Arabidopsis thaliana: one gene and its partner. The protein of the gene in region 1 interacts with the protein of each later gene in a pairwise test. Each region holds a gene or a part of one and is shown on either strand. Other genes may lie near its edges.

The links.
Region 2: the proteins of IAA7 (region 1) and AFB5 interact in a two-hybrid assay, tested with the Arabidopsis thaliana proteins (one study listed by BioGRID).

The regions. Positions count from the first base shown.
Region 1 is NC_003074.8:8,193,055-8,197,693, reverse strand, and holds IAA7 (indole-3-acetic acid 7), read right to left. Parts: upstream 3,089-4,639; 5' UTR 2,927-3,088; coding exon 2,688-2,926; intron 2,131-2,687; coding exon 1,877-2,130; coding exon of another isoform or gene 1,866-1,876; exon of another isoform or gene 1,620-1,865; coding exon 1,484-1,619; coding exon of another isoform or gene 1,480-1,483; exon of another isoform or gene 1,172-1,479; coding exon 1,110-1,171; intron 1,019-1,109; coding exon 978-1,018; 3' UTR 539-977; downstream 1-538.
Region 2 is NC_003076.8:20,333,389-20,338,269, forward strand, and holds AFB5 (auxin F-box protein 5), read right to left. Parts: upstream 3,284-4,881; 5' UTR 3,144-3,283; coding exon 2,542-3,143; intron 2,452-2,541; coding exon 1,953-2,451; intron 1,791-1,952; coding exon 1,032-1,790; 3' UTR 509-1,031; downstream 1-508. Other genes in the region: AT5G49990 (Xanthine/uracil permease family protein), read right to left, coding at 4,476-4,855.

The DNA of each region.
Region 1 (4,639 bases):
AAAGAGGTCAAATTATACTATTTGGAGGCATCAACGACTTACATAATTTATATGAGATTATTAATCTATAATATGAATACAATATATATATCTAATGATCCATCATCCATCCACCAGTAAGAACCATCAATAACTCGCAAGTCGTAACAAATTGTAAGTGAGTAACAAACATCCGAATATTAAAACTTTTATATCCTCTTTTGTAACTGTATCTTACTCACTTTTTTTTTAATAATGAAAACAAATTATATTGATTTCAACATATTTTTGAAATGATGACTAAATTAATCTTGTAAAGCCGCTACACATATAATCATCAGTTAGTTTAAAATATGACAGATTACGGACCACATGTCCCAAAAAATTAGGATACACAATTTATGATGAAATGACAACAAACCAACTTTAAATTCTACTTCTTATTTTTTTTGTGGGTTGTAGGATATGTTCAATTGTTCATTAAAGACTTCATCTAAAAGTCAATACATAATCAGAGTTTTTAAAACTAAAAAACGCTAGTAATGGTTAGAGAGTAGAATTAAAAAGCTAAGATTTTATTGGTAAAATAGTAAACATAACAACGAATTATTCATTTTGGGAAAAAACTATTAGATAACACACACAAGAAACGACAAGTAGCAGAGTAGGGATCAAAACACATGTACATGTACACACACCTACATACACACATTTATATGTATGCACATATCAAGTTGTGATTGATCATCAAACCGACAGACACATGTTGGGCAATAAATATGACACAAACACAGAGATATTGAAGTTTCCTCTCTTTTGGTCACATTACAAGTTTGTCCACATCTTACTGGTAAAATACTGCCCTATATACCCATCAAGTATTTAAAATTACAACACACATATATAGGTGATAGCCACATACAATCATAAAAATACATATAAAATCAAGAACCCGTCATATTGTTGATCATTGATGCTTCTTTTTTTTTATTATTAATTCAAGATCTGTTCTTGCAGTACTTCTCCATTGCTCTCGGAGCTATAACCAAGAAAACAGAATTATATTAAAATAAAAAGAAAATTGGTAAAAATTGAAAAACAAAAAAAAAAAAAAAAAGTTAGAGATGTACCAAGTCCAACTGCTTCAGATCCCTTCATAATGCGCAAACGTTTGCAAGACTCGACAAACATTCTGAAATAGGTATTCAAGTTTACGGTTAGAACATTAGAATATGAGTCGTTAACATTTAAAGTTTATTCTAAGGTTTTTGGCAATAATATGATGATGTGCCAGCTACGAATGAGCTCTAAACATATCGATACTATTGTATAATTTTTGAAAGATCCTCTTGTCTCTTGCCAACCAATGCATGGTTGTACGTATTTATAACACATGGATGTTGAATATCTTTGGCTTTGTCTCTACCAATTTCGGGAAATGTGGTTAACGAGTCAAGTTATAAGTTATAAAAAAAAGTATATGAAACGATTAAATTTGACTCACTCCCATGGGACATCGCCAACGAGCATCCAGTCACCATCTTTGTCCTCGTAGCTTGGCACATACTCAGAGCTATTCAGCAGATTCATTAGCTTGCTCTCGTTCATGAAATCTATCATTCCTTGTGCTCCATAGTTTCCTTGAAGATATTCAAGACATTCAAAAATCATATAAATTTATGTGTCATTATTGTGTAATATATATAATACATATTTAAGTTGTATACATTTAGCAAAATCTCATCTTGTTAATATGTATAGGGTTCGAATGTATAGTTCTATGACTCTAACTCGGTAAGGTTCATGAGTTTTGTATGAATAAATGTAGTAAATGATATACTTTAATATACGAATATAGTTTTTTCACACTTTCCGATTTGAAATTTCTAATACGTACCCATAGTAAAGGAGCTGAACATTTTGGCCAATGCATCAGAAAGATCCTGGTAGCTTTTGTACATCTTGAGGTCAACTTTCCTCAGATATGGAGCACCGTCCATGGAGACCTTCACCAAGCCGGCTCCGGCTGCTCCTCCACCAAAGTTCCCGGCCTTCTCACTGCTGGCCTCCTCCGCACCACTACTGGTCTTCTGCTGAGTCATCATGTTCTTCCTGTAGTTCCTCACAGGTGGCCATCCCACCACTTGTGCTCTACATAGAACAACATTATTTAGATAGGTGTATATCAACCAATGTAATTATTAGTTACCATTACTGCCTTTATGGGCTTGATTGTAAGTTATAACATGTATTATTTCATGTTTGCTTGTACGCATGTATGTATTGGTGTTTAAGTTTCAACCACGCTTTAATTATTATTATATTATTTCTTAGTATTATATTGATAGAAAACAAATATAACTTCAAAGAATCAAAGTTATGCATATAAATTTTAACAAAAAAAGGTAATGTATATGGGAAGTATATATATATATATATATATATATATATATATATATATAACTAACATTACAAATTTCAAGAATTTTTAGTTTATTCATATGTTTATGTAAATCCCTCACAATATTTATGTTCTGCGAGGACATATAACTATGAAATTTATATATATTCGAATATTCTAAGAACTTAGACATAGATGTGTATAAACACGTATATATGTATATATATGGACTGGAAAAAACTAAGAACTTTTTAACCAAAAAAAAAAAAAATCTAAGAATATATATATATGTAAATGTGTAGCTTACTTAGCAGGAGGCTTAGAAGGATCTTTAAGGGTAGTCTTCTCCTTGGGAACAGCAGAAACGTTTTTGAGATCAACGGAGCCTTCTTTGTTAGATTGAAGATTGAGCATGAGATCAACGGTTTCGGAGAAGCCTCTCTTGCTTCCCACCGCCGATTTGGCAGGACTCTCAACTGCTTCAGCGCCGCCGGGGAGGCCGAGACAGAGCTCCGTGGCCTTGAGGTTCATAAGTTGGCCGATCATGTTACTTGTAATAGATTAGAAATATTGTTTCTCTCTCTGAAAAGGTAAGAGGGGAAGAAGAAAGGAGAGGAAGGGGCAATAATAATATAAGGAGGGAGGATGGTGGTGGGGTGTATGTATTCGTGTAATTGCATGTGCATGTCTTTTGCTCTTTTTTCTTCATTGGTGGGGTTTATGACACGTGGGCTTGATTAGATGTTAGTTAATCATTTCTTCTCTGTTACTACAAAATTAAGCTAAGATAATTTTGTTTTGTTAATCTTCCATCTAGAAAGTTTTGAATGGTGACCGGGAAATTATGTTTTAATTAACTACGAGGATCAGGTCACATATTGATCATGATATGTAATGTAATTATTGTAGAACCGCGAAAATCCGGAGAGAAAACTTTGAAAACGATTACAAAGATTCCAAAAATATGATCATTCTTATTTTTGTGACAAACTTCACTGAAAAACTCGCCGAAAAGTTAGCCGGAAATACTTTGTAAAATTGAAGTTCCAACAGTTACGTGGTAGTGATGTTTTGTGATACTATCCGAATTCAAATAGTATGTATGAAGTCAAGTTATTCTTGACAATATATATATATACATATATGATATATTTTATAAAAGACTTTGGTATGATAATAAAAAGATGGGACATATTTCTCATATCTTACCAATTTGAAGAAAGAGATGATCTATGAGAATATTGAGAGCAACATATCTCTTACATAACCAAGTCATCTTGCTCCAATAGTAAAAGAGTGAAAAAATTTGCCACTTGAGTTCATGTAATATTGGCCATCATGGTTCGAATTCTAACATTAGTTTTTCCGAATCTCATAATTGGTGTTTGGATCTAAAAGTATTTTAGCATCATCTTTGTTATCAAAAAATAAAAAAAAAGACATATATATCTCTCACATCTTACCAAAATTTACATGTAATGTTTGCTTGACTTTTCGTATCTAATAGTCGGACTAAACCAATATGGGTCTTTTGACTCTGACGTAGTACTTATCATCGACAAATTTTCCTAAATAGCACATTAGATCACATATATTGGTTGTATAATTGTGTTCAGCATTTTTACTTAGAAATATATACAAACAAACTACAAAAAGTTTTGTTTGTTCTTCTCGTACGGTTCTGACATTTTTTTTAAATTTATTTGGTTCTGACATTAAACATACATTATAGTTCATAGTGAGCTACATCGTCTATTCTGGAGTTTCAGGATGTAGTTTGTTTATAAATTTGTAATGGTTGGGTTAGGTCATGTAGTTTTAAACATATTTCAGCTGGTTCTACCACTCTGTGTAGCTTTAGTATTTTAGCATTTGTACTATGACTCTATGAGTCAATACAAAGCTAGCATATAACTAGGTAGTATATAATACTTATATAGTATGAAACGAATTCAGATTGTTTGTTAAAGAAGAAAAGAATAAGTTCTCACAACATGTCTATATATAAACTATGAATGTATTAATTACTTCTATGTTTTGTTAATAGCCTATTTGTTACACTTTGTCTCCTCTGGTCAACTGTTCATCGCATATAAAGCAAGTGGAATTGGGCGGTGAAATTCCGTTAACCAAATTTGGTCAACATTCTAATTAGTTTGTGTCAAGCAATACAACTATACAAGTCACGTATATTATTTTAATTGTTTACGGTCTCCCGTTTTCTCTGTATCATCTTGGTTATTAAATGTGTCTTACTAA
Region 2 (4,881 bases), on another chromosome or scaffold:
CTACGTTTAAATGCTTCCCAAATGGTAGTGGCTAATATCACCGTCCAACTGAAGTTGAACAGAAGAAGACATATTCTATGTAAGGGACAAATGCATGTAACCAACAAACTAAGACAATATCTTATTTATTTATGTAATAGTATATGGAAGGAGAGGGAATGGAGATGGAAAGTTGGATGAATGGTGACCGTAGGATGATAAAGGATGAAATGATGGGAGCATAAAAAACATTGGGGTTAAGTGGTTTAATGAGTAGGTAAGATGATCACATCAATCCTAATATCTAAGCCCCCTTTTTCCAAATTATCTCTAATCCACCACCATCATATGTTTTTGTCACCATCCTCTGCATTATTTCAGTTTTGGTTATGACCTTTAAGAAATAAATGATGGGTCTCTTGTCAGTTGAAAATATGTAGTCTTTTGGGGACAAAGATGGCTTGTCAACAAAAGGCAAAAGGAGAGGTCTTCCTTTGGATAAGAACCTTAGCTCATATCTCTCCACCACCACACTTTCCCTCACCCTACATTTTAGTTACGCGTACCACATTTTAACCGAACGAAGCCAAATAATCGAATCGAATCAAAATGATCTTTTCTTGAAGTTACATTATAGTTTGCTGACAAATGACATAATTTAAACAGATTAAGATGAAATATCTCAAAATTAATTAAAAATGGGAAAGACAAAAGAGAGAGATGTCTCATTAGTTTCTCAACAACAACAACTAGAGAGAGCCAAAAGTGCAGCTTATTAGAACCAACTCAGCTGTCTAACTAACACCGATGCTCCCAAAACATACATCCACTGTTCCACCTAACCACCCAAATAACATCTTTTGAACCCAAAAATAAAAAAAGAAAATAATGATACAACAATCTTGCATTCCTCCCAAGTCCCAACCACCATCATTCATCATCAACAATCATGTAGTGTGCCTCTGATGCCACCACCATCATCATCTGAGCTTCCTACACTTACCCATTTCATTCCCGTCTTAAAAAACGGAAACACGGAAATGCTCCTCGTTCTATAAAATCGTGACGAACTTTGGTGCATCATTCCTTGGACCATCAAGAGACCGATACATGTATAAAGTCTCGACATAATCCCTATTGTCATCATCATCATCCGATCCAATTACTTCCACAACTAGATTCGGCATTGCTCGTGCAATATCCTTGCAGCATCCCTTAGACAAGCTACATGCTGACATCCAAACAAACCTCATGTTGTAATAGCGATGCATACCAGACCGTAATGCAACATCTCCAAAGGGACTGTCCCTTATCTCAAGTTTCTGCAGTCTAGGGCAACCTTCTAGGACATGTCTCAGAGCCATGTCACTGTCCCCTGCAAAAGCTACTGAAAGCGTACGGACCAATTTCCCATACTCACCCATATACCTAAAAGCTTGATCTGTCAGCAATCCCGACACTGCAAGGCGAGTTAGCTTCTTGCAGTTTTTAACAATGGCACCAAATCCCTCGTCCATAGGCTTTCCTGTTACATGGTCAGGCCTATGTCGACCCATTATGCACAGCCTAAACACAGTAAGCTCTGGACAGTTCTCTGACATGGCTATCACAGCGGCATTAGTCATGCGCTGGCAAAAGTAGAGAATAGATTCTAGTTTCCTACAACCCTCGGAGATTGCTTGGAGGCCTAATTCAGAGACAGGACCTTCACTGTCTTCCCGAGGATCAAAAGGGAAGATCCTGAGTTCACGGAGTTCCTTGCAAGTGGCTGCAACTGCCTGTAGTCCTTCATCACATATTGAATCAAGGGCCTGCATTGTAAAGTTCAAGTCATGCATTTTACTCAAGTTCCTTACACAACTAATATCAAGTTTATTCATTCTATCCATCTAACACAAACAATACGGTCACTAGAGTTAAGTCACATATAACTTAATAAAGCCATGAAGACATAGATCAAGAAGGATACATACCCAGAACACCTGGAGTTTGTGGCAATTGAGTATGATGGGCTTGAACATGTCAGGAGAAATGTTAGCATAACTGAAGTTCAGGGAGGTGAGATTAGCGCACACCGGAAAGATAGCTGGAAGATACTCCGGCATCAACTCTCTAAACCCTGACAAGCAAACTACAGATTTACAAGCACGAAATGCAGCAGCATAATCTGGTTCTTGCTCACTCTGAGGTTCCTCATCATGGCTAAATGAACCAGTCCCAAGACTAGTAAGCTGTGGAGCTCCAAGTAGCAGACGATGTAGCTCCACAAGAGACACAAACCTGTTTAGCCTAAGTTTCTTCAAGAACGGTGACCTAGCAACAAGACCCTCAAGCGCCTTAAAATTGATAGGAGCTTCCACACAGTCAAAAGCTAAAGACTCCAAACAAGTTACATCCTCAGGGAAACAAGAGATCCAATCCACTTCATCATCCGTGACCTCAGACTCAATCAAATCAAGCACTTTCAGCTTTCTGAAAACAAATTAATATCCAATAAGTTCATAACTATCAAAACATTACTCAAAGATAGCATTTTCATATCCAATAAGTTGTAACATTTACCTGCACTTGTTGGCAACAATAGAGATACCACTAGTACCAAAACCTTCACAACAAACCAAGATAAGCTCTTTAAACCCAGGAAAAGAGTCAGCAAGAAGAGCTAAATCATCATCAGTAACAAACATCCTCTTCAAATCAACTTTCTCAAGACAAGGATAAGCTTGAGCCATAGTAGAAACCCAAGGAGCAAAATTAGCACCCCAATCAGGAGGCATGAGATTGAAATCAGCAAACCTAGGTTTCCCTTTCAGCACAAGAGACCTAACACGCTTGAATCTCTGAGTCAACCTCGCCGGAGAAAGAGCGTAACAGTTACCAATAAAAACCTCAGATCGAGTCAAAGCTTCAACACGCCACCAAGATTTGCAAACTAGAGAAGCAGCGTTACGGTCACATCTTGAATCTAGGAACTGAAGAACGTTCTCAAGTACGTTTTCGAGAACATGGTCAGGGAAAGTTTGAGAATTTGAGATACAGTTACGAGATTTGTTTGGTGAAGAGGAAGATGAGCAAGGATCAGCTATGGCGGTAGAGGGTAGATCCAACGGTGGAGATTGTTGGTCATCGTCATCTTCAGACATTTCTGAGCGATCTTGTGTCATAAAGAGAGAGGCTTTGGATTCAGATTAGAGAAGAGGAAGAGGAAGAAGAGGAAGAAGAAGAAGAAGCTTTGGGGTGTGAGAGAGTGGGAGCTTTCTCTCTCCACTTCGTCTCCATTATTTGGGGATTATTTTTTATTTTTAATTTTCTGTTTTGTCTTCTTATATTTATGTACAAAAATAATTAATATTCATGTTTTTTTTTTCTTACTAGAAAGTAAAATGTAACTCTTTTTTTCTGCTTTCTTGTCTCCATCAATGTTTTTACACTTTACAGTTTCGTCCTCTTTATTTTCTTCAGATCTCTATTTTAGCAATGTTTTAATTAGAAAACAATAAAATCAACATTATCCATTTCTATAGTGTAGGACACTTGCCTACCCTTTTTTCGAGATAAGTTGAGAATTTAACCATATTGGTTAGGGTAATTTTTTTTGTCTTAAACCAAATCACTAAGCATAGATAATATGAACAAATTGGTTGGGATCATTTCAAGTAACCTCCTACGAATTATATGTATAGACCCGCATAAATGATTTCGAACTAGTGCACTTTTTTGGATTCTAACATTTTTGATCCGTAGATTATTATTAAGTAACTCACAATAGTTTATAACTTCTTATACCTTAACCTAAGGTGGTAAGTGGTAACCGATTTAGCTAATGACGTCTTTAAATTTTATCAGTCAAAAATGTATTTATATATGTGCCACAAACAAGCACATATTATTCTACCAATCAAACAAAACAAATACAGTATAACACAACTAAATACAAAACCCATTCATCATTGAGGCTCTGTTTTTTGTGTGCAAATACTCATCGTTGTGGCTAACCATCTGTTTTAGACTTTTAGTTATCGTTAACTTCCTATCAACTAGTTATATGCAACCAAAGAAGTGTTTAAATGGACGACAGAGAATGAAGCACATGAACCCCTACTTATCTTCAAAAGTATATCATAAGAGTTTCAACGTCAAATCTAGCATTACAAATTTTTGTAGGAAATTTTTTTTGTTATAGAATTAGAATCGAAAAGCCTCCAAAACTCACAAAATTTTCTCTTTTAATCATTTGTATTAAAACAGAGCATACATACTCTAGTTCTAAATTTGGCAAAACGAGTATCATCTTTAATGCAAAACATCTAAACATAGAAGAAACATCACATTAATATTTCTAAAATGTTACTTAACACTTTGGGTTATAATATCTAGTTGCGTTTTATAGTCTCCTCACCGAATATGCACATAAAACCTAGCTAGATAAGGTGTGTCCTCCTAAGGGACACAAAACTAGCAAAACAGCATTCCATAAAGTTTGGAAGGATTTTTTTTCAGACAGAAGGGAAATATTTGTTGAGGTTGAACGGAAGAGCATAGAACTCTTCTGTTCTCGGGTCGTTCTTGAAAGTCCAGAATCTGTCCCACCAGTGTTTACCTCGGTCTTTCCTGATCGAACCATCTTTCTTGTGAAGCGTCGTGTCCAACAAGTAAGCCACACATCCTCCCACAAAGGCCTTGGACGAGAAGGGCACATTGACCATGTCGTTGAACCATCTTGCCCCGGTATGAACTGGACCATAGCCTTTGATGGCTGTGTGCTCGTTGAAATATTGTGGAATTGATAGGCCTAGGAAGATTGAGAAGCCCAGTATGAATAATGTCCTGAAGCTATTCAGGTTGCAGAATTGCAGCAAACTCAGTCCTCCAGCACCTATACAACAGTTTTTGTATTAAAGA